Arabidopsis thaliana: one gene and its partners. The protein of the gene in region 2 purifies or fractionates together with the protein of the main gene of each other region. This does not show direct contact. Each region holds a gene or a part of one and is shown on either strand. Other genes may lie near its edges.

The links.
Region 1: the proteins of AT5G41670 (region 2) and GSA1 fractionate together in Arabidopsis thaliana (co-fractionation; one large-scale study listed by BioGRID). This does not show direct contact.
Region 3: the proteins of AT5G41670 (region 2) and AT4G17830 fractionate together in Arabidopsis thaliana (co-fractionation; one large-scale study listed by BioGRID). This does not show direct contact.
Region 4: the proteins of AT5G41670 (region 2) and GSA2 fractionate together in Arabidopsis thaliana (co-fractionation; one large-scale study listed by BioGRID). This does not show direct contact.

What each region holds. Positions count from the first base shown.
Region 1 is NC_003076.8:25,450,210-25,454,612, reverse strand, and holds GSA1 (glutamate-1-semialdehyde-2,1-aminomutase), read right to left. Parts: upstream 2,814-4,403; 5' UTR 2,657-2,813; coding exon 2,474-2,656; exon of another isoform or gene 2,321-2,473; coding exon 1,502-2,320; intron 1,416-1,501; coding exon 993-1,415; 3' UTR 768-992; downstream 1-767. Other genes in the region: FACT (HXXXD-type acyl-transferase family protein), read right to left, coding at 3,379-4,224. UniProt on the Arabidopsis thaliana protein: Transaminase converting glutamate 1-semialdehyde (GSA) to 5-aminolevulinate (ALA). Involved in the biosynthesis of tetrapyrroles.
Region 2 is NC_003076.8:16,662,002-16,670,750, forward strand, and holds AT5G41670 (6-phosphogluconate dehydrogenase family protein), read right to left. Parts: upstream 5,171-8,749; 5' UTR 5,110-5,170; coding exon 3,646-5,109; 3' UTR 3,619-3,645; exon of another isoform or gene 3,025-3,618; intron 2,969-3,024; 3' UTR 2,673-2,968; downstream 1-2,672. Other genes in the region: AT5G41680 (Protein kinase superfamily protein), read left to right, coding at 6,118-7,197; AT5G41685 (Mitochondrial outer membrane translocase complex, subunit Tom7), read right to left, coding at 7,418-7,645; AT5G41690 (RNA-binding (RRM/RBD/RNP motifs) family protein), read right to left, coding at 8,125-8,242, 8,355-8,378, 8,484-8,572, 8,672-8,749. UniProt on the Arabidopsis thaliana protein: Catalyzes the oxidative decarboxylation of 6-phosphogluconate to ribulose 5-phosphate and CO(2), with concomitant reduction of NADP to NADPH.
Region 3 is NC_003075.7:9,911,635-9,920,345, reverse strand, and holds AT4G17830 (Peptidase M20/M25/M40 family protein), read right to left. Parts: upstream 4,534-8,711; 5' UTR 4,431-4,533; coding exon 4,095-4,430; intron 3,890-4,094; coding exon 3,630-3,889; intron 3,554-3,629; coding exon 3,445-3,553; intron 3,369-3,444; coding exon 3,230-3,368; intron 3,148-3,229; coding exon 3,072-3,147; intron 2,992-3,071; coding exon 2,869-2,991; intron 2,779-2,868; coding exon 2,625-2,778; intron 2,519-2,624; coding exon 2,485-2,518; intron 2,404-2,484; coding exon 2,297-2,403; 3' UTR 2,159-2,296; downstream 1-2,158. Other genes in the region: AT4G17840 (CAAX protease self-immunity protein), read left to right, coding at 156-630, 744-895, 982-1,077, 1,157-1,219, 1,311-1,379, 1,469-1,571, 1,654-1,725, 1,805-1,893 and 1 more.
Region 4 is NC_003074.8:18,047,861-18,056,254, reverse strand, and holds GSA2 (glutamate-1-semialdehyde 2,1-aminomutase 2), read right to left. Parts: upstream 6,685-8,394; 5' UTR 6,559-6,684; coding exon 6,382-6,558; intron 6,124-6,381; coding exon 5,950-6,123; intron 5,873-5,949; coding exon 5,228-5,872; intron 5,128-5,227; coding exon 4,705-5,127; 3' UTR 4,477-4,704; downstream 1-4,476. Other genes in the region: SWEET11 (Nodulin MtN3 family protein), read left to right, coding at 1,592-1,643, 1,778-1,814, 1,918-2,128, 2,231-2,392, 2,488-2,607, 3,154-3,441; DCF (HXXXD-type acyl-transferase family protein), read right to left, coding at 6,960-7,820. UniProt on the Arabidopsis thaliana protein: Transaminase converting glutamate 1-semialdehyde (GSA) to 5-aminolevulinate (ALA). Involved in the biosynthesis of tetrapyrroles.

The DNA of each region.
Region 1 (4,403 bases), 8.8 Mb from region 2:
GTATTTGTCACATGTCTTGTCTGAATAGGGTAAACTGTTCCTATCAAAAAAAAACAAAAAACAAATAGTATACTCAAAACATCACCACCACCAAAGTAAACACATACTCCCGTATTCAGATCCGATCCCTTTATCAAATATTACAAAAAAAAAAAACGTTTGTGTCATTGTGCTTTTGATTTTCGAATAGCCCTTTTTCTCCTTTGAAATTATCATTCTATTCTTGATAAGATTAGGTAATTGAGCTTTTTTGTCAACGGTTACCTCAATCACAAGGCTGCCAACAAAAAAAGGTTACATCAATCACATGTTGAAAAATCATGTTTGAATCATTCATTAATAATAACACATATTTCTACAAAAACTGTGCTTAATAGTTGTAGCACAATTGTTTGTATAAATTAGGTATATAGCATGGCTACTCCTTTTTTCCAACATATAGCATGACTACTTAAAATGTACAAAACTAACAAAAATGGAGAGATTAGATTACAATTTTACTCCTGAATTCTTAAAACCCAATCCTTATCATCCACTTCTTCTTTCTTGTTCTCTAAGGAAATTGTTTGGTTTCAACAGAGAGATTTAGGTCCAATCAATATCCTGCAATAGCTACACCACCTTGACGCTCTCAAATATATTTAGTTTCAGCAAGCTAAAGACATCCAAAACTCATTCCAAAACATTGCTGCGATATGTCGATTTGAGTAGCAATGCGATTTTCATCCATCTATATGCATTTCTGAATTCTTCATAGTACTCAGAAATAATCGGAAAGGCAAATCGGTTTGGTATTAAAAGCAATATTTCTTTAGGAGATAACATAAAACCATTACATTAACAGATGATCTTAAAATACAAAAAATCTCAAGCTCTACTGATGAAACAAAATTCAACTCACTACACAAGAATTATTCCATCCGCTCATCAAACCATACACATCGTCCCCAAAACATGAAGATTGTGAAACTAGACTCAGGGTTGGGAACATTCTAGATCCTACTCAGTACCCTCTCAGCCGCAGCAATTGTTAACTGTATATCCTCGGGAGTGTGAGCCAAGCTCGTAAACCCGGCCTCAAACTGAGACGGTGCAAAGTAAACACCTTCTTCCAACATTCCCCTGAAAAACCTACCAAACTTCTCTGTGTCGCTCTTCTTTGAGTCTGCAAAGTTGTAAACCGGTCCTTCTGCGAAAAAGAATCCAAACATACCGCTTATGTAACCCCCGCACATTGGATGCCCGGTTTTCTTTCCGGCTTCTAAGATTCCGTTGGTTAGTTCCTTCGTGATCTTGTCTAAATACTCATATGTTCCTGCCTGCTTTAGCCGCTTCAGCGTGTGAATCCCTGCAGTCATTGCCAGCGGATTACCACTTAGAGTCCCGGCTTGGTACATTGGTCCAGCGGGAGCAACCTACAAAAAAAAAAAAAGAATAGCAACATTGGTACATGGCCACCCCTAGTTTTGAAGCTTGTTAAAGGTCTAGAGCCAGATCTTACCATCTCCATAATATCACGTCTACCACCGTATGCTCCCACGGGAAGACCCCCACCAATAATTTTACCAAGAGTAGTTAGATCAGGCGTGATTCCAAAGTATTCTTGGGCTCCACCATAGGCTAGACGAAATCCAGTCATGACTTCATCGAAGATGAGAAGAACACCATTGTCTTTAGTAAGCTGGCGTAAACCGTTGATGAATTCCGGAGTAGGAGGGATGAATCCGGAGTTACCAACAACAGGTTCGAGAATTACCGCAGAAATCTCCCCTTTATGCGCAGCAAAGAGCTTCTCAACAGCTTCAAGATCATTGTACGGAGCTGTTAAAGTATCTGAAGTAGCTGCTTTAGGGACACCTGGAGAGTCCGGTAGCCCCAAAGTGGCAACACCACTACCAGCTTTAACAAGGAAGGCGTTAGCATGACCGTGATAACACCCTTCAAACTTAATGAACTTCTCTTTGTTAGTGAAAGCTCTGGCAAGACGAAGCACACCCATACACGCTTCAGTACCAGAATTAACAAACCGAACCATTTCAATGCTGGGAACAGCTGATATAACCATCTCAGCTAAAACATTCTCCAAGAGACAAGGAGCACCAAAGCTTGTTCCTTTCTTCATCGTCTCAGCTAGAGCCGCAAGAACCTCGTCATCAGCATGGCCAATAATAGCAGGTCCCCAAGAGCCAACGTAGTCAATATACTCATTTCCATCAATGTCCCACATTTTTGAGCCTTTAACAGAATCAATCAAAACAGGTTGTCCACCAACGGATTTGAATGCTCGAACAGGGGAATTCACACCTCCAGGCATTAGATTCTATCATGAAAAAGACACCATTTGTTCAACATTCAGAATCACATTTCTATGCGCAAAACAGAGGCATGATTCAGTCAAGTCCATCAAAATCTGATCTTTTCCGAAAATTTTCAACCAGAATCAAAAAGTATCGGTGGGACGAAATCAATTTACCTTAGCAGCATTGAAAGCTTCCTCAGATTTCTGAAGACTGAAACTTTTCTTCTTCTCGTCGACGGAAACAGACATCTTGATGCAGCATCGGTTAGAAGCTGGTGAAGAAGAAACTCTTTTCGAGATCTTCGAGGAACACGAAAACCCCAAAGCAGTTCCCGATCCTGTAAGCGTCGCCGACATCTTTGATCTGAAACTCGCTGTCTCTGGCGGTCGGAGTTGGTAATCGAAGTGGGTGGGCTTATGATTGAAGAAGAGTCAACAAGATAAGGCGATGGCCAACCACCGGGTTTTTATTTGTCAAATCCGGGTGGATCCGACCCGAATACGAAAGTCAAGTCAAATATTTTAATTTATTTTAAAATATTGGGTTAAATTGATTTATGATACGTTTAAATTTGGTGCTTTTCAAAAGCATGGAATTTGTGTGAAATTTAAAAATTGTTACTCAAATACGATCGAATATAAAGCTTTACTATTTTGGTTTATGTAAAAATAATCTTACAAATGATTTTTTTCTTTTAACCATAAAATTTCAGAATTTAGACAAATCGTTGATCAAAAAAAGACAATTCTAACGATTTAATTTTCGTGATAATATTTTTGCTATGTGTGATAAGTTTATTTTGTAAGGTGTGACTTGTAGGTTGTAATTGATCTCTATGTCAGAAAAAGTATTGTAAGAAGAAAATCAAAGATTTGAGCTCTTACCAAACAACATTTTAGTAAACACAATAGCTTTCTTTATTAAACTTGATACTTTAACATCTTAGTTACATTTTTGCTCCACCGACGAACAATATTTCATACGACCACAAACACGTAATTGATATATCATCATTATTTGCTTTTTAAATCATAGTTAATTTAAATTCAAACATTAAACCATAAATAATTTTAATGATTCATATATCCATAATCCCTTGGAACACTTTCATAGCCGAGCCAGGAAGTCCAAGCAGCACATTGATACTCTTCGTGTCACTACCACATGGCAGAAACAGAATCACTTCCTTCTCAGGTAAACCGACCGGTCCAGATACAACCGGTTCACCCCAACCGAAATCCTTAGTATGAAACGACAGTTTTGCCCACGACGTGATCAGAAGTGTTGCCGTTAGGCTCGGCCTAGCTCGAGTCACCTCAAAGTAATCAATCGCTGACCTCATGAAACCGTCGTTGACCATTTCAACGGCTCTTTTGACCAAACACACTGAATGAGAAAGAGGGTTTAAAGTCACTTCACCTGCCGTTGTAACGCAATAAGTGAACACAATCCCGTTACCGGAATATCCTTTAGGAAGTTCCGGAACGAATCTCGACCTTCCATCTGCAGCAAAGAGAAGCTTGATCCGTTGATCAGGTTTAAGCCCTAAGGCTTGACAACGAGCTCTCCACAGAAACCCGGTTAGGGTTTGAAAAGTCGTGGATCTCGTCTCTGCCATGATCTTAAGCCTCTCGAGTTTTTCGGGTCCGAAGAGGAAGGATTTGTAGACGAGTTTCTCGTCGGAGTAGAGTTTTCCGGTGCCGGAGATGTCTTCGAGGTCCTCGAACTCGTTGTGTGGGAATTCGATCTTTGGTGGGGTTCGTGGTCGGAGAAGTGTGCGGTCCAAGAAAGGTGGAACGGAGAGAGGAAGGCCACGAGCCGTCTCGGCCCAAGAGTTGAGGAACTCCATGGCTGCGATACCATCGAACATATTGTGGTTCATGCCTAGTCCTAGCACGAACCCTCCACACTTGAAATTTGTCACCTAACAAACAAACCAAAATTTGTATGGAAGCATCGTATACAATGTATTCGATCAACTAAAAATGCATGATTTCTTCAATCGTATTTACTCGAATGTACTGCCCAAAAAAAAACGAGTATGTCCAAAATTTATTTTGTCGACAATCACACAACAATCTTGGAAAAACGTCAATTAGGATA
Region 2 (8,749 bases):
ATCTTAATTTTGTCTACATAGAACCTATTAGTACACGTGGATATTCTGCCTATTGCTTCTACGGCTAAAAAGACGAAAAATTATGTATTTAAGTACAATGACATTTAGAAAAAAAAAGAAAAAAAAAGTACAAGGACAAAGTATATTATTAAAATACACATAATGTATAGATATATTTTTAACAATTTAGTACAAATAATAATACAAGTAATTAACTCATGTTGAGAAGAATTATTTAACTACAAGAAAATCAAGTTTATAGAAGACTATACATATATCTGAATCAATATTTATAATATTCATTAATTATTTGAATCAAACAACCCACACCCACTGTAATTGTTTATAACATAAATCTTATAAAAGGATTTAAATTTTGTACTTGTACTGCAATTCTGATGAAGTTCAAAGATTCAAGATAAGTACCTACAAAATCTTGGTCACACATAGCCTTTCTTTCATAGCCTTTTCTCTATTATTAGGCTCATGTATGTATAATACGTACACAGAGCAATATACCAAATCATATAATTAATATGACTATATACTAATGTATATATATGTAAAGAGAGAAGGAGAATATCGATGACATAAAGTATCATTATGTAATGACCAACTTGGTAAGATGCATCTTTATCTTAATTATAGTAATATTATTTAGCATATAAACTTGTACTTTGATGTTCCAAATTGAGCAGTCGTTTGTCTAGAACATGCAGCTTCGTAAACCATAAAGTTTAGTTTAGTTTTCTGCATTAGTTAAGGTTCAAAACCTGTTTTTTTTTTTTTAACAAATGTATCACACATAAATCTTTAGTTGTTAAACAAATGTATCACACATAAATCTATCTATGAACCATCAAACTGAAAAATAATTGGTGGATATATACATTTTGATTTTAATATGAAGACATTATAAAGAAAAGAAAAAAAATCGTTGCATATACTTTTTCTTTTCTTGCTTATACACATATATCACACACAAAAAAATTCATAAGAAAAATCATAGAAAAGAAAACCAATAACATATTAAGTTGATTATCTTTAAGTCGTTTGAAATATTTGAATTGAAGTTTGTTAGATCTCATCTTTGATCGCTATGGCAACTCTTCTCATGTATTGTCAAACTTTGTTGAGTTTGTGTCTCTATCTTTGTATCATGTTGTATGCTTCGTTGTTCTAATCTTTCGTCTTGCATGCACATCGGATATATCTAAGGATGTTTATCTCGATCGATTGTAATTGCTAAATCATGAATGAAAGTTTAGTTGTTCGGAAAATAACCCCAATAAGATAAGATCGACGGCGTTTTTAGAAAGAAACCATATTATAGCATATCACAAAACCATAACATACACCACATAAATAATTAATATATTAATCTTTTCACTTATTAGTTGTTTTTAGCTTTATGAAAAGAAGTAATACGAATCTATATTATATAGGTTTAAATGACATCTTATGTACATTGAACTTCAACAAGTACAAAAAAACATTGAATCGTGTCCCGTAAAGTGTAAATTCTATGGAAGTGGTAACATGGTTATCATCATCTAATGTCTCTCCAACTAATTAAAAAGTATAATTGATATTAAAATATGGATAATATATAATCATAAGAGAGTCGATTCATATTGGAAAAAGATATATATAGACATATGACGAATTTGATGTAATTATTAATATCTATAGAATTTTGATACTATTTCGTCTGTTCCTGCACCTAAATGCGCCATATCCCATACATCTCCATCTAGAACCTTTATAGAAAAGAGAATAGATTCAAAATTATAAGACTTTAAATTTTTTGAGATTGGAAGAGTTATAAAAAATGATTGGATATCCAATTATATCACATCAATAGAATCAATTCCATTTAGCATAGCTAAAGTTTCTTTAATTATAGTTATTATTTAACAAATGTCGGCAATGAAAATAGTAATATTTACCAAATTATTTCGGCACAATTGAACGAATTATTTATGGAATAAATTCTTAGATTCAAGAAAGAGTTTATTATCATGAGGTAGGGAGACAATATAATGTGGGGCAAGCATCCAATAATTTGTTGATGACAATTGGCAAATAACAAACACAAAAATTAGTATAACTAAATGTATTTTTTTGTAATTGTTGTTAATGTGTAATTATGTATTAGAATATCAGTTTTATTATACTATGTAACGTAAACATAGACACTAACTTTTCTAGCGATCGTTAAACTCATAAAAGATCGAGCATGTCCTATTTTTTGAACTAGAAATTAAAGAGAATCGTCCTTATGTTACAACGATTGATTAAAGTACTAATCCATTTTTCATGAGATTGCTTGCTAATCTGATCAATTTTTTATTTTTTTTTAATATTCGAGTAAATTGGTAGAGAGTGAATTGTTTTCTTCGAATTTATCATCATATATACGATGAATTTTAGTAGCTGAAACATAGTGTATATTGTTTGTCCAATCAATATACCTTTGTGTTATTTCATTTGTCTAATCCAGAACCACATGGGCCATATTTTCCAGGAATCTTTTGTTTGTTTGTAATTATTGAAGCAACAAATAATTCATTCCGTGGAAAATAGACTAAATCTGATGACTCTCACCGCAACATCAGAATATCACATGATGAATTAGACAATAATATTCACGAATTTCTATTGTTTAAGGGCTCAACTTCGATTTCACTACTCCAAAAGATTACATAACATGTCTGGTTCATCAGCCGTTACTGGAGACTATTATTATAACCACAAAGGACAATCAGAACGTAACCAGGTTACAGGGGAAAGAGAAACTACCATGTAACCTGTCAGACAAATGTTATTTGCGACTTAATCCCGCGTTGCAAACTATATCCGAATGTCCAAGAAATTTTGAGCAAGGGTTTTAAAATGTCCTGACGGAAGGGTTGAAGAACATGCTGCATCAACGAACTCGATGAATCACTGACTACATTTTGGGCATCTGTTTTGAAAATTACTTCATTACATTTTGAGTGGAAATTTGTGTTGTTTTACGGACAACAAACTTATATAACAAAATATTATTAGACAAGTAAGATTTGTTAAACTACCTATAATCACGAGAAGTAAGATTTGTTAAACTACTCACGAGATCAGTTATCTTATTATGGGTTTAGCTGTGTCCCCCGTAAGATAATTGTACTTTGGTTGGGTTAATTATATTGCTCTAAACCCAACAAGACGTTTTATGACAAATAATGGGCTCTTTCTCTAATAGCCCAATCCGTTTTATTGTTCAGTTTTGGCGCCATTTAGACCGGAAAAAAATTCGTCAATTTAACGAGCAAGAAGACTACAGAAGAATTATGAAGACTTCAGCTTCCAAAATTTCAACATAGATATCAAATTCAAATTCGAAAAATGAACCAAGCCATACATAAGAGAAAATAAAGGAAACTCTCCAGATATCATCAACAGACAGATACAGAGAGTCAAGGGGCATTGCATTTCTTATTATAACTCAACAAAAATAAGCTGAAACAATTTGTTTTCGTGTTCTATGATGAAATAAAGCCCTACACAACAACATGGAAACATTGAATTCAGAATAAGCACAAAAACAGAGTGTGAGAGAGAGAGAGAGAGAATAACCTCAAATCAAGGGACTGTGTCCATGCTTTACTGACTCTTCCTTGCAAGCTTAGTCCATTCAGTGTGGTATGCACCAGGACGATCGGTTCTCTCATATGTATGAGCTCCAAAGAGATCTCTCTGCGCCTGAACCAGATTCGCAGGTAATCTAGCACGCCTGTAAGTGTCGAAATACGCTAAACTTGCGCACATTCCTGGTGTGCTAATCCCAGCAGATATAGCAAGACCCACCACTCTCCTCCATGCAGCTTGCCTCTGAACCATCTCTTTAGCAAAATCAGGATCAACCACTAAGCTCGCCAAATTCGGGTTTCTCTGGTAAGCTTTCTTGATCCTGTCCAAGAAAACCGCCCTGATAATACACCCACCTTTCCAAATCCTAGCCATTTCACCCAAATTCAAGTCCCAACCTTTCTCTAAACTCTTAGCCCTAAGCAAATTCATCCCTTGAGCATAACTACAGATCTTAGAAGCATACAAAGCTTGCCTCACATCATCAATCAACCTCTTCTTATCAACACCACGAGACGCAGAACCGATATCCTCCTTCAATCCAGCTTCTTCCAAAACTTTAGCAGCATTCTCCCTCTCATCCTTCAATCCACTCAAGTATCTACAATCCAACGACGCAGCAATCGTAGGCGCCGCAACAGAAAGCTCAGCCGCCTGCTGAACCGTCCATTTCCCTGTACCTTTCATACCAGTCTTATCCAAAATCTTATCCACTAACTCTCCATCACCATAATCATCCTTAACCCTAAATATATCCGAAGTAATCTCAACCAAGAAACTCTCAAGCTCACCTCGATTCCACTCCGTGAAGATCTCAGCCAATTCATCATTACTCAATCCACCAACGTTCTTCAACACGTCATACGCCTCCGAAATCAGCTGCATATCACCATATTCAATCCCATTATGAACCATTTTCACAAAATTCCCAGATCCACCTTCTCCAATGTATGTAACACAAGGACCATCTTCGACTTGAGCAGCAACTTTCTCAAGAATATCTTTAACATTGTTATACGCAGTGAAAGATCCACCAGGCATAAGAGAAGGACCATTACGAGCTCCTTCTTCACCACCGGAGACTCCCATACCTAAATAAAGCAATCCTTTCTTCTCAGCTTCAACGATTCGTCGCTCTGTGTTCTGATACCACTCATTTCCACCGTCGATGATACAATCACCAGGCTCCATGTATTCAGAGAGAGCAGAGATGGTTTGGTCAACGGGAGCACCGGCTTTGACAAGGATGATAACGGATCTAGGCCGTTGGATCGAGAGAACGAAATCGCGAGGCGAGTATTGACCAGCGACTGGGAGTTTTCCTTCGTTGGAGGCACGATCTAAGGTTTCGTCGACTTTGGAAGTGGTTCGATTGTAGACGGAGATTGGGAATCCTTTATCGGCGATGTTTAAGGCGAGGTTTTGTCCCATGACTGCGAGACCGGCGAGACCTATGCGAGATAGAGCGACGGACTCCATTGTTGCGATATGAAGAGAGAGAGAGAGATAGTGGTTTAGGGTTTTGACGGAGGTTGGTGGTGATGGGGGAGAGAGAGTGGCGGAGATATTTATACGGTGAAAGTGACGGACTCGTCGATGGAGCCAAGAGACAATCAAAAGGCTGACTTAACAAACTGGTGAAGAGTTTTTGTTAGGTGAAGATGACGCTCTTTATTTACGACGCCGTTTTCGTTTCTTTAGTTATATAATTATGTAACTTTCGGTTTGGAATTTTGATTAACCGAGTCGAATTGGTCCGAACCAAAGTAAACCAGTTTAAAATACGGTAAAATTAGAAAAAACATAGCAGAGCCAGGTTTCGATCCTGGGACCTGTGGGTTATGGGCCCACCACGCTTCCGCTGCGCCACTCTGCTTTGTTGATACTTTTTTCTTATTTATAAAATATAAATACATACAAAAGGGAAAATGTAAAAGAAAAAATCCATTTTGGTAATAATCAGTGTTTTGGGTGGGAAAATCTAATAGAAGAAGAAAACGACCACGATGTGTTTGCGGCTAAAACCATGCTTATTCACTTAAGATAATACTATAACGAAGATTTTTTTGCCGGCTTAACGACCGGCGTATCTTTTCTACTCGCATTTAAAAATGATTAGCTATATACTAAAATACAATTTTCTTCTGTTACAAAAGATTCTCTGTTCCATGATAGAGACGAAACATTTTTCAACAATGGCTGAGATGATATATATTTGGCTTTTCTGCTTCGAGAGGAACAAGAGGAAGAACCATTTGCTTGACTTCTTGAGAAGATTCAGAGTTTCTCCGTTCTCTATATGCTCTCCATCGGAAAGTCAATATAACCGGCTCTCGGGCCCATTGGAAAGAGCATCATCCTAAGCTCTCTACCAGGTTTGACCAAGCTTATAGCCTTGGAGAACATTTGATTTCGATCTTGACGCTTTAAATTACCTCTACAAGTGTTTGCTTTCCTGTTGAACATTCTGGGTGCAATCGAGCGGAGATGATGGCTTGTTGCTTGCGAAATAAACGGCGCATGAAAGGTAAACTCTCATGGAAGTCAAAGAAGAGAGATTTGTCTCATTCAGGAAACTGGGCACCAGAAGATGACAATGATGAAGGGAAAATCGTTTTCTTTGGAGGAAGTAACTATACCTTTGATTTGGATGATTTGTTAGCTGCATCTGCAGAAATTTTGGGGAAAGGCGCTCATGTTACAACCTACAAAGTAGCTGTGGAAGACACAGCCACGGTAGTAGTGAAGAGATTGGAGGAGGTGGTTGTTGGGAGAAGAGAGTTTGAGCAACAAATGGAGATCGTTGGTAGAATCAGGCATGATAATGTAGCCGAGCTTAAAGCCTACTACTATTCCAAGATCGATAAGCTCGCTGTTTACAGTTATTACAGTCAAGGAAACCTATTTGAGATGCTGCACGGTAAGCTATCTTTCTGTATTCCGTTGTCTATGCTTCTTTGGTATGCAGTATCGAAAACCAATAACTCAACTTTTGCAGGAGAGAGCCAAGTACCTTTAGATTGGGAGTCCCGTTTAAGAATCGCCATTGGTGCAGCAAGAGGGTTGGCTATAATCCACGAAGCAGACGACGGGAAGTTTGTCCACGGTAACATCAAATCCTCCAATATCTTCACGAACTCGAAATGCTACGGCTGCATCTGCGATCTCGGCTTAACACACATCACGAAATCTCTCCCGCAGACTACCTTACGTTCTTCGGGTTACCACGCACCTGAGATAACAGATACAAGAAAGTCCACACAGTTCTCTGATGTATACAGCTTCGGGGTGGTGTTACTCGAGCTTCTAACAGGGAAATCACCCGCGAGTCCGCTATCACTAGACGAAAACATGGACTTGGCGAGCTGGATAAGGTCAGTGGTGTCGAAAGAGTGGACAGGAGAAGTATTCGATAATGAGCTAATGATGCAAATGGGTATAGAAGAAGAGTTGGTTGAGATGTTGCAAATAGGTTTGGCTTGTGTTGCCTTAAAACCTCAAGATCGACCTCATATAACACACATTGTAAAATTGATACAAGACATTCCAACAAACTTCAATCTTTAAAGCAATTCCCAGATTTTCAAAACATAAAATTCGATTTCACATTATATCATAAGCTAAAGTTATTCAATACAGTACCATAGAGAAAGTATTCAAAAACTAGCTAATGAAAAAAGCATAAAAGAAGATTCGGCGAATCTAAGAACACGCGTAAAGATATGAAGAAGCCAAACCAGAGGAAGACCGATTCGATTGATTTAGGTTGATGATGAAATTGGATGGATCAGACAGGGCTAAGGAGCTGGAAGAGATGAGGTTTGGGATCGGAGTTCATGCCGACGAAGATGACCAGAGGGATGAAGCCATAGTGAGTGACGACTTTAGCCTTCTTCAATGACCAATTGGTCCATTCCTTAACGACATCAAACTTGGATTTGTCATCGGAAGAGGAAGCTCCCTTTGATCCTTTGCCTTTTCCTTTGTTGACCTTCAACGATATTGTAGACTCCATTGATTCCGATCTCAGAGTTTCTCTCGATTGCGGAGATTTTGTTTTTGCTCGAATCCGAAAACCCTAAAGGACCTTTACAAAAGTTAGCGGTGAAGTCTCTGAATGATATAGAGGGTTCTAACCGACCTTCTATTTTTAAAAGTTAACATTTTTCCTAATTACAAATTTGGCAAATCTTATTGGGTAAAAGAAGATAGTTTTAAATGTTACTTTTTTTTACTGTGGCATAACTCATAAGAATACTCATAAGCTTCGGGTCAAGCTTACGATTTTGTCTATGTACAAAGGTTATAGTAAAGCCAATGTCTAGGTCTTGAGTTACCACTACTTTTTTACTTTGGTGAAAGATACGAAAGACTGAATCAAGTTGAGACTGTATTTGGTGTCCGAGATTATGGTTTTGAGTTTTGACAAACAAATCAGTTAAAATAGTATACTGTATACGGCACATAATAGTGAAGGCAGATAATGATTTAATATCAGAACATATGGTCTTCGTCGTCGTAAGAGAAGATAATCTTCTTACCGCAGAATTCGGTCCTCTCGCTCAACATCTCATATTCCTTCTGTTTCTTCAGAAGACTTTCTCGTTCGTGCCTGGAATAAAAAAAAAAAAAAAACCCATTGTAATCTCTCCTTGTATACCACAAACTTCACCCAATGTGCTATTGACAACAATACTCGAAAGGCAAATAGTTAAATCCCTTACCAAAGTTTCTCTGCATGGTTGTACCTAATTAACAAAGAAAATAAAATAGCATTAATCTTTTGTAATGACACATCAAAACTATAGAGATAATTTAGAGAAACTAATCTCCATATGGAAAAAACAATTTACTTGGGTCGGAGAGGGTATGGAGCTAACTCAACCACGTCAAGAAAAATCTCACGACTGCGCAAATTTTCACCATTCATCTTTTGCAGCGCCTATAGTACAAAATATTTGATTAGTTTTCGTACTTTCGAAATACACTACTTTCGAAATGACTACAATACTTTTTTATCATTACTATAAACTACTCTCACCTTCTGTGCTTCGTTAACAGAAGCAAACTCAACAAAGCCACAGCCCACATGCTCACCCCTGTGGTTTACAATAAGTCG
Region 3 (8,711 bases), on a different chromosome or scaffold from region 2:
CCACTTCTATTTATTACAATAAAATGAGAAAATAAAAACGCGCGGTCACCGATTCTCTCTCGCTCTCTCTGTTACTAAATGAAGAAGAGAATCTCTCCGGCGAGATCACCGGCGTTATTCCGATAATTTCGCCTGAGAGTTGTCGCATGTTATAAATGGGTCTTCCTTTATTGTCTTGTAGTTCCACAAGAGTCACTCTCTCTTCTTCTTCTTCTTCATCTTGGTGTAGTAGCGGAAGCGGTGGATTTAGGAGTAGTTCTAAGCTTTTCGATTCTCCGGCGTGTTCGAGATCGGATTTGAAGAAACGTAGCGGGAAGAGAAATTCACGGTTAAACGGACTTTCGTTAGAGAAATTAAGGTCGATTAAAGCATCGTCGTCTTCCGCTGGACAGAGCAGTAGCGAAGTGATCGACGACGGAGATGCGGCGGCGCGTGGTTTAGCTGTTACTTCAGGAGATGTAACGTCGGTTGGAAGTTTCAGTAGCGGCGAATTTGTTGGTGCTGGTAGTGGCGGTTTAGCTGGACCTTCAGGTGAGGTTACTTCCGTCGGCGAGTTTGTCGGCGGAAGCGGCGGGGATTTTAAGGATTGGGATAAGATCGGTGCTATTGTTAGGTTGAGTTATGGAATCGGTGAGTCACGAGATGATTGAGCAACTTCGAAAAAGAAGTTTCCTTTATGAAATTTCAAAATTGAAACTTTATTTAAACAATGATTTTGGATTTGGTGATTTGGGAAAATATAGGAATATATTGTGGAATGGCAGTAGCAGGAAGATTCATATGTGAAGTAGCAGGAATAGATTACACAGGAGGTTTTAATGCTTCTTTAGATACAATTATCGCTGGACTTGGTTATGCTTCTCCACCTATTATGGCTCTTCTCTTCATTCTTGATGTAAGTTAGTAGTGATAATGAATGTCTCTTTAAATGGCTATGAAGGTTTGGGGTTTATGAGAAAGATTTGGTTGTTTATTGTATAGGATGAAGTTGTTAAATTGTCGCCTCATGCTCGTGCCATTAGAGATGTTGAAGATGATGAGCTTCGAGGTTTCTTTCAAGGAATGTCAGCTTGGCAGGTGAAGAACCCTCAACACAGAATCTTATTGATTGAATCTTTGAGAAAAAATGTTAAACCTTTGTCTTGTGTTTCTTTAGTTTATCTTAGTAGTTACTGCAAGTTCAGTTGGAGAAGAGCTCTTCTATCGTGCTGCGTTTCAGGTTTTTGCCTTCTAATAGTCTTCAATTGTTTTGTTTCTCTTTCTGTTTTAGGTATGTGAAGTTTTTCGTGGTTTTGATATTGTTTTGACAGGGTGCACTAGCTGATATATTCCTAAGGGGCACAGATCTTATCTCGGATTCTCGAGGAATGGTTGCTTTGGTATTATAGATTTTCTGTTCTTCCTTGTCTCCTTCTTGTTCCTTGAACTCGTTTAAGTGTATTTGACTTTTAATTGTTTGAATTTTCAGACTGGACTCTTGCCACCATTTGTACCATTTGCTCAAGTATTTGCAGCCACTATTACAGCCGCTCTCACTGGTTCTCTCTACTACATAGCTGCTTCCCCTAAAGGTTTCCTTCTACACTTAAAACATTTCTCTATGTTACAAAACCTTTAACCTCATAGCTGATTTTGTTTTGTTATTTCTCTTAGATCCAACTTATATAATGGCACCGGTCTTGAAAACTCGCTCTGCCCGAGACGAGCTGAAGAAGTTGTTTGCAGGTTCGTAAAACTCAGTTTAGCATAAGGATTTAGATATGTTCACTATCACACACTAAGGATTCTATGTTCCTTTTTGCAGCGTGGTATGAGCGAAGACAGATGAAGAAAATCTACTCTCCTCTTCTTGAAGGGCTTTTGGGTCTATACCTCGGCTTTGAATGGATTCAGGTTTTTACTTCTTCTGTTCACGCATTTCTTTTTTCGACATGTCGTAGTAAAATCGTTGATACCAAACTGAAAATATTGCAGACAAACAATCTTCTTGCTCCTATCATCACACATGGTATATACTCAGCCGTTGTATTGGGTAATGGTCTCTGGAAACTACACCATCATCAGCAAAGACTCCGGCTACGTGTTCAGAAACTTGAAACTGAAGGTGACAACAACTCAAGATAGATAAATAACTGTATAAAACATTATCCTTTGTTTTAAATTTTGTAAAGTGTCTGAAGTATTGAGCCACCATTGACTTGTACAAATAGATAGAAGCAAAGTAAATGTATAGAACCATTTAGTTAATAAGAGAGTAGCTATGTGAAGCTTTTATTTTATGATCTTCCATCTGATTTTATACTTGTTCAAGTTGAGAAATGATCCTGATGAAGACATCAAAGCCTTGGCACATGTCTGTAAGAAGGCAGTATTCGTTCTTTGCATGATATGTAGCCATGAGACCTGCAACAAAATTAAAATAGATAAGGATCAAAGATGAGGAAATTCAGCAAAGGAGAGAATCCGAGTTGGGTTTTGTAATACCGTATCCTGAAGTTTGCACATCAAAACCTTCATCCTACAAACCAAGAGCATGATTCATTGGTTTAGAAAGAGTAAGTTGTAGAGAACTCTGAAAGATCAGTCTTGAGTCTAGTTAAAGTACGGTTTATCAAATGGTTTACCTGGAGGTCTCGGATTAGAGGTAAAGTACCGGTGATCGAGTAAGGCTTCACGTGTCCAACAACTTCTTCGGTTGCTTTGCATAGAACGTGAAAGCCGGGAGAATCAAGATTACACGCAACTCCAGCTGATGCTTCATCAAAACTTAACGTGAGCCTGCAAGTGACAATTAAGACTTTTTAAGATTTCGGTAGGGACAATAAAATGAGAGAAAGAATAGAATCAGGAGAAGAAGAAAGTCCAAACCTTCCCCGTAAATTCTCATCTGGTAAGACATATTTTGAAACAGGACCACGGGTTTCGAGCCTCTCTATGTTACCGTTTATGTCGTCAACATACTCTTGCAACTTCGTTATCACTTCCTTCACGCTGCAAAAACAACCAAAAAGCCATTAAAGTGTGTCTAAATGCATTGAAGAAACGAGTAAGACAAGTGTGAAGAGACTTACTCATAGAAAGGAGTCAACCTGACATCACCCGAAACAGTACATTCTCCGGGGATTTGGTTGATTCCACCTGCTGGATCTGCAAAACCAAACAATTTATTGTAAGTAGACAACATGTAAAGTCATTAGGCACACAACATGCTATAGATTCCAAAACTTACAACACCACTGTGTTGGCTTCATGGTGGATGGTGTTGCAAAACCATAAACTTCCTCTTGTGGGTGAGGCGGAAAGTCTCTGTAGAACCGAGCTTGGATTTCCTTAAGCCCTTCCATTGCTAACTCCATCGCGTTAATCGCCTTCGTACAAACAGAAGAAAAGATCAATGCCAAGTTTGCAACTTCATCTAGAGTAATCCATTCATATATAAAATACCTTGTGAGCTAAACCGCTATGGAAAAGCTTTCCAGTAAACTGAAGCTTCCATGGTATCATACCCCCAGTTCCAACACACGGCTGCTTATCCGCTGTATCAATCCAATACCTTCAAAAGAATACACATCAATAAGCTTCAATCATCCTTCAATTTTCATCTAAAAACTCCCCAAGAAATTTCTAACAGAATGGAAACTAACAAGGGTCCGGATTTGAGCTTATCAAGAAGTTTGTCTTTCACCAGCATGTCCACACCAACACCAGGAATGGAAGAGTTCTCTTCGCTAGCGATGAAAACCGCCACCACCGTTGATTTCAACGCCGGTTTGGCTTGCCCGAGTTTCTTCATGAGTTCAGTGACAAGAGCAACGTGACCAAGACAATCTGTTGTCCCACGACCACGAAGCTTATCACCATCTATGCTTAGCGAGAAAGGATCAAATTCCTATGAACAAAAACCGAAGTCAACCAGAGAATCCAAAATTCAATGTAACCGATTAAACCCTAGAGTACACAAAACAGAGAAAGCTTTGAAATTTGGAACAATTCAGATCAGTTCATCGGAAATTAAACAGAACCCAGTATCAGATTTTAAGCTAATTCTAATGGGCACCGATCAAAATCACATATTTAGAATCAATCAAAATTACCCAATCATCAGGATTCGCAGTGACGACGTCCATATGCATTCCGACGAAAGACAAGATCTTTCCGGGAACAGATCCTGGGTACTCAACGATGAGATTACCTCTACCTGAATGATACGCGACATGATTGATCACCAGAGGACCACCACCAGTTTCTGTGCTATAAGGACGGAGAGAGTCAAGGACGTGTTTGACGATTAGGTCCTCTTGAGGGATGAGCTCCGGCGGATTGTTCTGGACGAATTTAGATTCGCCTATGAGTTTTGATAAGAGAGAAACGTATGAGTCTTTGTCAAGAGAGCCTATGGATTCGATCAGTGCTTTGGAAGACGAAGCCATTTTTGTTACACCAAAGATGTTTTTTCTTTTGGGGTTTGCAAACAAAACTAATAAGGTTTTGGTCAGCTTGTCTACGAGCTTCGTGTGTTGTTTAAGGTTTTGGACCTTTTCGGGTGGAGTGTTACGCTAATTAATTAAAAAATTATACGGAACCAAATTAATTAATGTACATATCACTATCCTCAACAACGAAAAAGAATTAAAAATCTACAGAAGGCTTTGCTTAATGTTGTTCATGTCTTCTATGGATTCCAAAATGTATTCCTTGGCTTTAGGATCTATGGCAACTCACACAAGCAACATCAATTGGCCACGCATCAAGTAAGGATCTGTTGCAACATCGCTCTGGATATTACCCTATGAAGCATGGAGGATAATATATGACCAATTCTTAAATCCACATCAGTTCAAATAGTTGATAAGTAGGTGCATTCGAATACGATATGGTATGGTCACGTGTTTCGGGACAGCCACACGATTCTATATATATGTGGTTATATCATTAAGTATGTAAGTTATGGATTGAAAAGAAACAGTTGATATCCTATCACTTTCGAAAATATTGCAACCAGGCAATCAATTATCCAAGTCGGTTCATCTTCTTAGTCACATAACTAAACCGAGAGCACACAAACAACGAGATTGACATGGAGCTGATCAGACCTAGCGTGATATATAATGTAATTGTGTTAATGCCGATTTCTGATAGATCCAATCGAAAGCAATTGTGTTAATGCCGATTGAGTTGTTAATATAATTGTAATACAAGTGATCACAGCTTCAACCATATATAAGGGATTGTGGTTGATAAGTTCTCAAAAGGTCTTTGGAAAAAGATATCCACGCTTTACTCAAACAACCCAAATAGACTCTTCTCGGAAAATGACTATATATTAATATTAACTTCTTGGCACATGTGATGATGTGAAGATCCACGAGAGAAACAACTAAACGATTAACTAATGAAATTCGACTATGAAAAAATTAGATTTGTTATTTAATTGAATTATTAGTTTAGTCTAATCAAATAACAATGCTAAGAGGTAAACGACAGAATTCTAAAAATTATACTTCACAATCTAATTATATTTTCACATGATATAGTAATAGTTTTTACTTTTAAAACTCCAACTTTAAATGGCGCCGAATACGTCATCCTTTGTCGCAAATTGCAACCAAAGTTTTTGCCATTTATGAAAACAAAGGTGAAAGAGACAATGGATGATTGATATGGGGATTCGAACCATGCTGAGCAGAAGAAGACAGTATAATTAAAGTATCCTATCTCACTGATTCAATGGACTGTTCCTCTCACAGATACAAAATCCCTAAATCCCTTTTTAATTTCATTTGGTCTTAGCATCAAACATCTGTAATTTATTTGCATGCCAACAAATTCATATCTCAGTTGTGCTTTTACGTACACGAATCTTGGTCGGTATATATATATATATATATATATCTGCTGTCTTCTTCGGTTTGTCTTGCTTCATCTTCAAAGTATTACATTTTCTTTCTTTAGAAGAACCTTAATAAGAGTCGATAACCCTAATAATTAAGCGTCCAAATCGTCACTGGGATCTCTAAGTGAAGATTGTTCTTTTTCTAAGTTAATTCAACCGCTAGAAAAGAAAATCATTTGGGTAAATATTAGAATTAAGTTTGAATATGACCATGCGTTGTAGATATTTTTATTTTTATTTTTATTTTACAATACATATACTATCAATGATTGGTGTAAATTTTAAAAAAGATAAATAGAAAATCTACATGCTATGTCGAAAATATATATTATAAAATAAAGAAAATGTATGATGCTAGCTAGAGATGGTGAGGAAGCGGGGACCAAAACTAGAAGAAACAACATATTGTTATGAATCAAGAGGATGCCCATTATAAGGCCCATTATCTAAGCCCATCATCGAGATGTTTCTAGGGTTTTACCCTTTCCTTGTACTCCTATATAAAGAACCCTTTATCTCAATGGAATAATACACTGATTTCCTCTATCTCTTTCTCTGTTTACAACACGTTATCAGCACGCTCTAAAAGGTAGATATAGAGATTCTTACATTTTTTTTAAGAACCATGTTTACTTATCGACTCATGGTTCATAGTACTTATTTTCTATTATTGAAACAAAACAATATGAGTCGATCGATGATTATAGTATAGATCGGTAAAAGCATGTTTTCAATGATTCAATAAAGAAGAGAATCATGCTTATCATTTGTTTCTATAATTACTATCGCATGATTCAATGATTCTACAAAGAAAATCGTTAAAGAAGAGAATCATGCTTGTTAATTGTTAATCTTTGTGATTTACTATTACAATATTGAATATATAAATTACCAATTTTATAATTATATAACTAATTTTGTAACTATTCATAGCCCGGTGGTGGGTGATGTAAGCATGTATTAATGTTTTAGCATTCCAGTTTTGAATAGTTGCATCTATATTCAATATCATTTTATAAATACTATATTATCTAAAATCCATTTATGATTGATATGATATCCCTTATTTAACTCCTTTGATTAAAACGTTATACATATCTTATCACTTTTAGATATTGACTTTTCCCTATTAAATATTTGATTTCCATATATTTGATTGTGTTATTATTATTTTTACTAAAAACGTTGCAAGATAATTTTTCTTTTTATAAGATTCTTTTCTCTAAATCTTTGTGGTATCTAAAAAAAAAATAAAAAAATAAAATAAAATTGTTCATGGTTTTGCCCTAATTTTGCACGAAATTATTTTACCTAAATCTTACACGAATTCATATTACCCTAAATAAAAGTTTTGTCAAGATATATGTAAAATCCAAATTTTGCACAAAATAGTTTTATTGTGATTGGTTTTACAATATTGCATTAAAATTGTATTAGTATATAATACTTGATTATTTTATGAAATAAATTGATTGATAAATAACTTAATTTAAAGGTATAATCACTTATAGAAATTTTCATGAATGACTAGTTTAATGTATTTTAAGAAAATATCATATTTTTGATGGTCAAAGTTTTTTCAAGAACTTAAATTATCACCAGAAGTTGAGAAAATAATTTTAAAAAAAAAAAAAACATTTCTAACGATGAAATAATCTAGTATATCAAGTAGTATAAAATCTTATTAAAAGATTCTAGAAGAGCATATACATTGTTTTCTATGGGAATACAAAATTAAAATCATCGATGCTGTATAGTTCTCCAAATCTCAAAGTTAATATGATGAGATATAAATACATTATGATTCTAGAGTGGAATTCAATACGAGATGGATGAACTTGAAGTTTCATCATCTCGAGAAAGAGAAGTAATGAATGGATAATAAGTGACATATCCAGAAGATTATGTTCAATCTTTGACTACTAAAGATCTAAAAGTTGTATAAAGCAATTCTTATATGAATGTGTTATTAGATAAAATAAATTATTACTAAAATAAGTTATTACTAAAACTTCAAGACTTGAAGTCTCTTTTTGAATATAACTCACATTGTTAAGAGAATATCTCTGATGCGGAGATGGTAAAACAGACGATTAAACTTTTACGCAAGTATCGTTGTCCTGTAGACACAATATTTGAAAGAAATTTAAAAACTATTATGAACTTAAATCGAGTGTTTTTCAAAGGCTAAAAAAAATATATGAGTTATTGATGATAAGTAATACTCATATTCTAAAGTGAATATAAGATCTTACATAACTAGTCAAATTAAATTTAATATCGTTTATATTAGAATCTAAAATTTTAATTATTATCTCGTTATTGTTTTATTAACATATGATTGATTATTAAAATATATGGAAGTAATTTTGATTATAAGATCTCATTAAGGGAGTAACTGATAAGCAATGAAAAGTAAATTAGAAGTTTTGAAAGAACTAGAAGTTTCAAAAGAATTAAAAGTTTCAAGAGTATATTTGGCTTAACCGGATTGGTCATCCTGGTTTAATGATGATGTGAAAGTATTGAGAATTATGTGGACATTAGGTGAAAAACCAGAAGATTCTCCCTAATGATTTATCAATTGTTACTTGCTCCGAAAGCAATATGATAATGTGATTTTTTACGAGTCAAAATAATTTGGACTTTATCTATTCGTAAGTATATACAAGGAGATGATTATGGATTGATCACCCACTGTATGATATTTAGATACCTAATGGCTATAAAAGATGCATCGATTCAATGGGACGCATTGACTCGATTGTTGCATCGACAAGAAGGTCATATTTATCCTTGTTATAAACCCGCAACATAG
Region 4 (8,394 bases), on a different chromosome or scaffold from region 2:
GTATATCTATATATAACTAAACGCACAATAACTTAAAATATAATTTTTCGCTACACATGCAAATTGATTTTGCAAGGTATATAGTCATTCAGATTGATCATTTGTAGTTACTTGGTTGGTTTTAAATTAGCAACGAAATCACGTAAGCGTCAACATAAGGAAACATGTAGAATAAAAGTGAATGAACTAATCACTAATTAAGAAAAAATATTAGTTTAAACCAGTGTTTTCACGCCCGACCCGAACCGTCCGGTCCGACCGGTTAACCCGTAATCCGAACATTTTTCCGGTTTGGGTTTAGTGCTAAAACCCAACAAGTTCAAAACCGAAAAAACCCACAAAAACTCGCAATTAACCCGTGACCCGGTGAACCAGTTGAACCGGTCGGGTGTGGGTTTTAAAAAGTTCTCTTGATTTTACAATAAAATATGGGATTTTAGACTTTATTCAATTATTTTTAGAAGTTTTTTCAGTTCTTAAATTCATTTGATGTTTTAGATTTTGTTGATGACTTTACAATACCGCCTTAAAATTGAATCGAATGGTGAGAGAGACAACCGAGATTAGTTGTTTTAATTCACGATGTTTTATTAATTTATTTCTGTCATTGATGATCTCCTAATATATTTGTTACGGTGTTAGACATTTATTGGATTTCAAATTTTTAACCACTTTATTATTATTGTTTGATTTTTTCTATATATATATATATATATATATATATATATTTGGGTGTAAATGATTTTATATTTTGTTAAATATAATATAATTTTATATTTGATTAAATATGATATGATTATTTTTGTTTTATATTTATAAATACTACAAATTTTTTTTATTATAAAATACTCTAAAATTTCTATTAGTATTAAATTTATTAAATAAATTTTAACTAATTAACCCGTGGTCCAACCCGGTTGACCCGATGACCCAGTGACCCAGAAGATAGTCCGGTTCATCGTCCGGGTCGGGTTTCAAAACATTGGTTTAAACCGAAGTTGGCAAATATACTTATTACGTTGTGTAAATAAGTTAAATAATAGGATTGGTGAAAACCCTCAAAATCGTAAAATGATTAGGTCATAATTATGTCATTGTATATATAGAGAATTAGAGATGCATACGTAGAATCTAGACATAATCCTTAAGAAAATAGCTTGCCTAAACAGCTGAGATTGACAAGCATTATTAACATAACTAATTATGTTTTATTTCTTAAGCCAAAACCTAAAAAAGGTTATTTGGTAACAGAATTGTTATTTGTACGTCAAAATGTATATGATTTGGTAATGGTTTAGCGTGTGAATTATTGTTGCGGGTCTTTTTTTGTTATACAACTACAATGACATTAACGCTTTTTAAAATAAATAAGAAATTCAAACATTATTCAAAATATTATTGTTCACACAAACATTTCTCCTTTTTCCATCTCCCACACAAACCCCATTCCTCCCTTTAGCCCTAACCCCTATATATACGTGAAGTCCCCGAAACACTAAGCTCGTGCCATTAGCTTTTACATTAAGAGAAAACACTTGCAAAACTAAGTGCTATCTCTCTTCTTCTTCCTTCTCCTAACAACTTATATACCATGAGTCTCTTCAACACTGAAAACACATGGGCCTTTGTCTTTGGCTTGCTCGGTATGATACTAACGTTGTGTTCATTTCTTATGAATATTTTTGATCAAGTTCTGCAACCCTAATATCTAAATTCTAGAGATTTAATATCGATTTCTTAATATCATATTTTTGCTATATTCTTGTATAATTTTCAGGCAACCTTATCTCCTTTGCCGTGTTCCTATCTCCTGTGTAAGTAATATATATGCAACAAATCAGAATATATATGACTACGTTACATCAATATTCTCCGATATAATTGAGTAACTAATATTCAGTTTTTTTTTGGACGCAGGCCAACGTTCTATAGGATTTGGAAGAAGAAGACAACAGAAGGGTTTCAGTCTATTCCTTATGTTGTGGCGCTCTTCAGTGCGACGCTTTGGCTTTACTATGCGACACAGAAGAAAGATGTCTTCCTCCTCGTAACCATTAACGCCTTTGGTTGCTTCATCGAAACCATCTACATCTCTATGTTCCTTGCCTACGCTCCCAAGCCAGCTCGGGTAACTAATAATTAATCCTCAGTTCATATGACATGCATGTTACGTTGTTCATAACATTATTCAAATGAAGTTGCTAAATAAAACATTTCTTAATGGATGCAGATGTTGACAGTGAAGATGCTACTTCTTATGAACTTTGGAGGATTCTGTGCGATTCTCCTTCTTTGCCAATTCTTGGTAAAAGGAGCCACACGTGCTAAGATTATCGGAGGAATCTGTGTCGGATTCTCTGTTTGTGTTTTCGCTGCTCCTCTAAGCATAATCGTAAGTACTACGAAATAGCTAATTTACCAAGTGATTAAATTATGATTTGGTAACAATAATAATTAACATATATATTTTTGTTTAATTATATATAGAGGACGGTAATAAAGACAAGAAGTGTGGAGTACATGCCCTTTAGCTTATCCTTAACCCTTACCATCAGTGCTGTCATATGGCTCCTTTATGGTCTTGCTCTCAAGGACATCTATGTTGCTGTAAGCCATTTCATCTCTCTCTATTTGCTATAATGAATATATATGTTTTAACATGATTATCATGTCGTCAAGCATCATAATCATATGTCTATCATTATCATAACAGTATATTACATGAAGTGGGTGCTTTTGTTTCTAATGAACCTGAGACTTTGAGGTTCTAATCATAGATTCATAGATAAAAAGAGATATGGATTGGCAAAAGATAAAAAAAACGATTAATGAAAGCAAAACCTTTTGTTTGGTATCGTCCTTTACGATAAAAATAAACCAAATTATAAAGAAACTCTCGCTTTATGTTCCACAGAAACATTAAAAGATTTAGCTTTTGCAAAAGAAGTTCATAATATATTAAGTTCTTTTTATCTTTATTGTTACATAGAAATTATATTTTGTACGTAACTTCTATCGATGCCGCACAAGTTTGCCATAAACTTTACTTTATTTCGTTTTTAACGTACTTTATTCACAAGCTAGAAAGTGGAAAAGTGAGTATATTAAAATGTTATTATGTTATTGCCACTACAACAAATGTTTTTCGTGCAGTTCCCGAATGTGCTTGGTTTTGCTCTCGGTGCACTCCAAATGATACTCTACGTTGTCTACAAATACTGTAAAACGTCGCCGCATCTAGGAGAGAAAGAAGTCGAAGCTGCTAAGTTACCGGAGGTGAGCCTCGATATGTTGAAGCTAGGCACAGTTTCATCCCCTGAGCCAATCTCAGTGGTTCGTCAAGCGAACAAGTGTACCTGCGGAAATGATCGAAGGGCTGAGATTGAAGATGGACAAACCCCTAAACATGGCAAGCAGTCCTCTTCCGCAGCAGCTACATGAATAAAAATACGTTAATGTTGACTTTACCCCAACTTGATATACCAACCACCACGTGTACCCCGTTACGCTGTCGTATTTTTCTGAGTTTATCAAGTGTGCGAAGTAGAGGATTAATTTTCCGGAGTTAGTTTCTCTACTTCTTTATAAAAATTTGTGTAATTATCTATTGGGGATAATGTATATTTCCTATTTTCTGATTTAACGAAAACTATTTAAAATATCCATCATGATTCTGTCTTTTTTTTTTTTGGTCATACTTAATGTTTTCTGTTTATTTTAAGGACATAATATTAATAATATACGATAAAGTTTTCTAATTATGAAAGATAATATTTGACTTGAGAATTAACGTGGTCACATTACTCTTCGGATATAACCAAAAAAAACAAAAAATAGAAAAATTTAAAAAATGTTTCAATACAGAAAATATTGGCATTATCAATCATAAATTCTTTTAACAAAAAATATCAATTATAAATTTTGATTGGCCTAAGTCAAGGAGTATTCATATTTTTAAATAAATAAAAAGGAATATTTTGTATGGACTGAGTGGGCCAAGTCTTTGTCTAAGGCAAGTAATATTGGATCACTTCCTTACTGGGCCTTTCCAATTTCAAATAATTCCAACTCAATTGTGTCCGAATTAGAAAGAAAGTTCGAATCAGCTTGGTCTCCAAAACATCTTCACATAATCATCAGGATGTTTCTTGTTCATTCTTTAAGACAATGAAAAGCAGCTCGGTCGGTTGGATTGAACAAACTACAGCTAGAAGCAAAGATGTGAAGAAAGAAAAATGCAACTAAACATATGAAAGACGTAACCTTGGGAAGTAGGAGACTAGTGAAACTTTCTCGTTGGATGGACTGTGTATCCACTTTCTAGGTCGTCTTAGGTCGGACAAAGACATAAATGGGCAAGGGAATCTATAGAAATGTGAAGAAAACTGAATATGGAAGCTTAACTTTGCAGATGCACTTCCCTTGTTCCGTGGAGAAATATATCGTCTTATGACTCAGATTATGATGTTGGCTACATGATGAAAAAGTGTGTTGCAATAGAAATCATTCTGTGTGATTTGTAAGACGTTAACGCAAAGCAAGAACTCTTTTTAAAAAGTCAACAAATCTTCATAGACATTTTGACTTTTCTTACCACAGTTAAATTTTGTGAGATTGCTTGCTTGCTCTCAATTGAATCTAATTTTCTCTACATCAAAAAATTTCAAATACATTCATGGTTCCCTGGAAGCTTCCAGAGACATTTTAGAGCCGACTTAGAACCTTCTCGGCCGCTGCGATAGTGAATTGGATGTCTTCTGAAGTGTGAGCCAAGCTAGTAAAACCGGCCTCGAATTGAGAAGGTGCCAAGTAGACACCTTCTTCCAACATTCCTCTGAAAAACTTTCCAAACTTCTCTGTATCACTCTTCTTTGCATCCGAGAAATCATAGACGGGTCCTTCCGTGAAGAAGAAACCGAACATCCCGCTTATGTAACCGCCACACATCGCATGCCCGGTTTTCTTCCCGGCTTCTAGTATCCCATTTGTAAGCTCTTTTGTGATCTTGTCTAAGTATTCATATGTCCCTGGCTGACTTAACCGCTTCAGCGTGTGTATACCCGCTGTCATAGCCAACGGATTACCACTTAGCGTACCAGCTTGATACATCGGTCCTGCGGGTGCAACCTGCAAAAAGACATGAGTGATAAAGGATCAGGACTTTCTCAATCTCTTGCAGCAAATTCAAAAGATTATTCGGTTCAATTGTTAACAACTCTAGCTTTACCATTTCCATGATGTCTCTTCTTCCACCGTATGCTCCCACAGGAAGACCACCACCGATGATTTTCCCAAGAGTTGTTAAGTCAGGTGTGATTCCAAAGTATTCTTGAGCTCCACCATAGGCTAAACGAAAACCAGTCATGACTTCATCGAAAATAAGAAGAGCACCATTGTCTTTAGTGATCCGGCGTATTCCCTCAATGAACTCTGGTTTAGGTGTAATAAAACCCGAGTTACCAACAACAGGTTCAAGAATGATGGCAGCAATCTCTCCTTTGTTTGCCTCAAAAAGCTTCTCAACAGCAGCAATATCATTGTATGGAGCTGTTAAAGTATCTGAAGTAGCTGCTTTGGGGACCCCAGGCGAGTCAGGTAGACCCAAAGTAGCTACACCACTACCTGCTTTGACAAGGAAAGAGTTTGCATGACCATGATAACAACCTTCAAACTTGATGAACTTTTGTTTCCCTGTGAAGGCACGAGCAAGACGTAGCACACCCATACATGCCTCTGTACCGGAGTTAACAAACCGAACCATTTCAATACTTGGAACAGCTGAAATCACCATCTCAGCAAGAACATTCTCTAAGAGACAAGGAGCACCAAAGCTTGTTCCTTTCTTCATTGTCTCAGCCAAAGCAGCAAGAACCTGCACTAGACACATCACCGTATCAACTACTAAACTTTCAGCTATCTAAAAATCATCAAAACTGGAAAGAAACAAACCTCATCATCAGCATGACCAATTATAGCAGGTCCCCAAGATCCAACATAGTCAATGTATTCATTTCCATCAATGTCTCTTATTCGTGAGCCCTTTGCAGAATCCATCACCACTGGTTGTCCACCAACAGATTTGAAAGCACGTACAGGTGAGTTCACACCTCCAGGCATTAAGTTCTACACAAAGGAACCAAACCAATTTCAATAATCAGAACAGAATGAAACCAATAAAAACAAAAACTTTATCTCAGATTATGATTCTATCTCAAGTAATCTTATTTTGTTAGCAATGTTCCTTGAAGGGTAACAAAGATAATCACTTTAACCAAAAATATGATCAAATCCCACAAAACCAAAGCAACAGAACATCAAGGCGTAATCAATCTGAAGAAACATTTCTTATTGACTGAATTCATGGAAATTGAAAAGCCTAACCTTCGCAGCATTGAAAGCTTCCTCAGATTTCTGAAGAGTGAATTTCTTCGTCTTCTCCTCTACCGAAACCGACATCTTGATGCAGCGACGGTTGGACGACGAAGAAGCTCTCTTAGAGAACTTTGCGGAGCACGAAAACCCTAGAGCAATCCCTGATCCAGTAAGCGTCGCAGCCATTTTGCTATATCTCTACGTTTCTCTGTTACTCTCTCACTTGCGCTCGTAAGTAGTACAGAGATAGTCAACAAGATAAGGCGGAGATGATCTTCAGATTTTAGATGGAGCCGACCCGGTGGTTTAAATTCAGACCCGATCCGGTTTGATTTTACTGGAATCTGAAACTCAAGTCAATATTTGTTTGTTTGACTTTGTTAACCAATCCGGTTTCTTTGACCCGATCCGGTCCGATAACTTAATTTGACATATATATATTTTCTGCGAATTACATAAATTTTTGTAATGGATACAAACGTGAATTCAAATATAACATGTATAAATAATGACTAGATTATAATTTTCCTTTGCTTATAATTTGGTAGAATATATCATAATTTGATTATGAAAATGTATGTTCTTTTTCAGATCTTCATAAGCTCTTCAAACACTTCCATAGCTGAAGTAGGAAGGCCAAGAAACACATTGATACTCTTCATATCATCACCACTTGGTAAGAACAAGATCACTTCCCTCCCTGGTAAACCAACCGGTCCAGAGAAAACCGGTTCTCCCCAACCGAAATCCAGTTTATGCAATGTCAATTTTGACCAGGATGTAATCAAAAGTGTCGCGTTCATACTCGGCCGTGTCCGGTTCACCTCGAAGTAGTCCATAGCCGACCGCATGAAGCCGTCCGTAACCAGCTCCACCAGTCTCTTGACCAAACCCACCGAGTGAGAAAGAGGGTTCCCAACTAATTCTCCCGATGATGTCACCAAACCGGTTAACACAATCCCGTTCCCGCAATATCCTTGCGGGAGACGTGGGATGAATCTTGACCGTCCATCCGCCGCAAACAGAAGCTTAACCCGTTGGTCCGGTTTAAACCGTAGAGCTTCGCATCTTGATTTCCAAAGAAACCCGGTTAAGGCTTGAAATGTTGATACCTTATTATTGTTATTTTCTTCAATCGCCATGATCTTGAGCTTCTCAAGCTTTTCGGGTTCGAAAAGAAATGATTTGTAGATGAGTTTTTCTTCATCGTAGATTTTTCCGGTGTCGGAAATATCTTCAATTTCGTCGAATTCATTGTGTGGGAACTCGATTTTGGGAGGGTTTCGTGACCGGAGAATCGTACGGTCCAAGAATGGTGGGACGGATAAAGGAAGACCCTTGGCCATCTCGCACCACGAGTTGAGGAACTCCGCAGCGGCGACTCCATCGAACATGTTGTGGCTCATGCCTAGTCCTAGGACAAAACCCCCACATTTGAAATTTGTCACCTGAAAAAAAAAACGGAACATAAAACTTTATCTAAAGATGTTAAAAAAAATCCATGCAACATTTTAGAATGAATCGATACCAATTTAAAGAAATAGGAATGAAATAATATACATTTAACTTAAGTACTACCTATTGGTTACACACACAAAAAAAAAAAACTTACTATTGATCGTCGTTATTTCTTTTGGTTACTTAACAATACTAATTACGCATGGTTCTAATTAGATGGTCTAATGTACCTTAAAGTTTGAACATGATGACCACTCTAGTTTTTAAGAGTAACGTCTGATCATTTGTTACTATATTAGTGTGTGTTCGTTACTACATGCATGAGACATAAAAATGATTTTTTTAGTAACATTGTATCATAATTCATAAATGATATTCGGGAAAAATGTCTTTCAAATTTGGGACGATTTAATTTTGAACTTCACGGAAGATAAATAAATCGTAAAGTTTTTGTTGACTTTCGAAATAAATGACAAAGTGTTTGTTGACTTGCCATTTGAGTCATGTCGTTAAATAGGTTAACAGAAAAAATTTACGGCGTTAATGTCTCGTTTATTTGCTCTG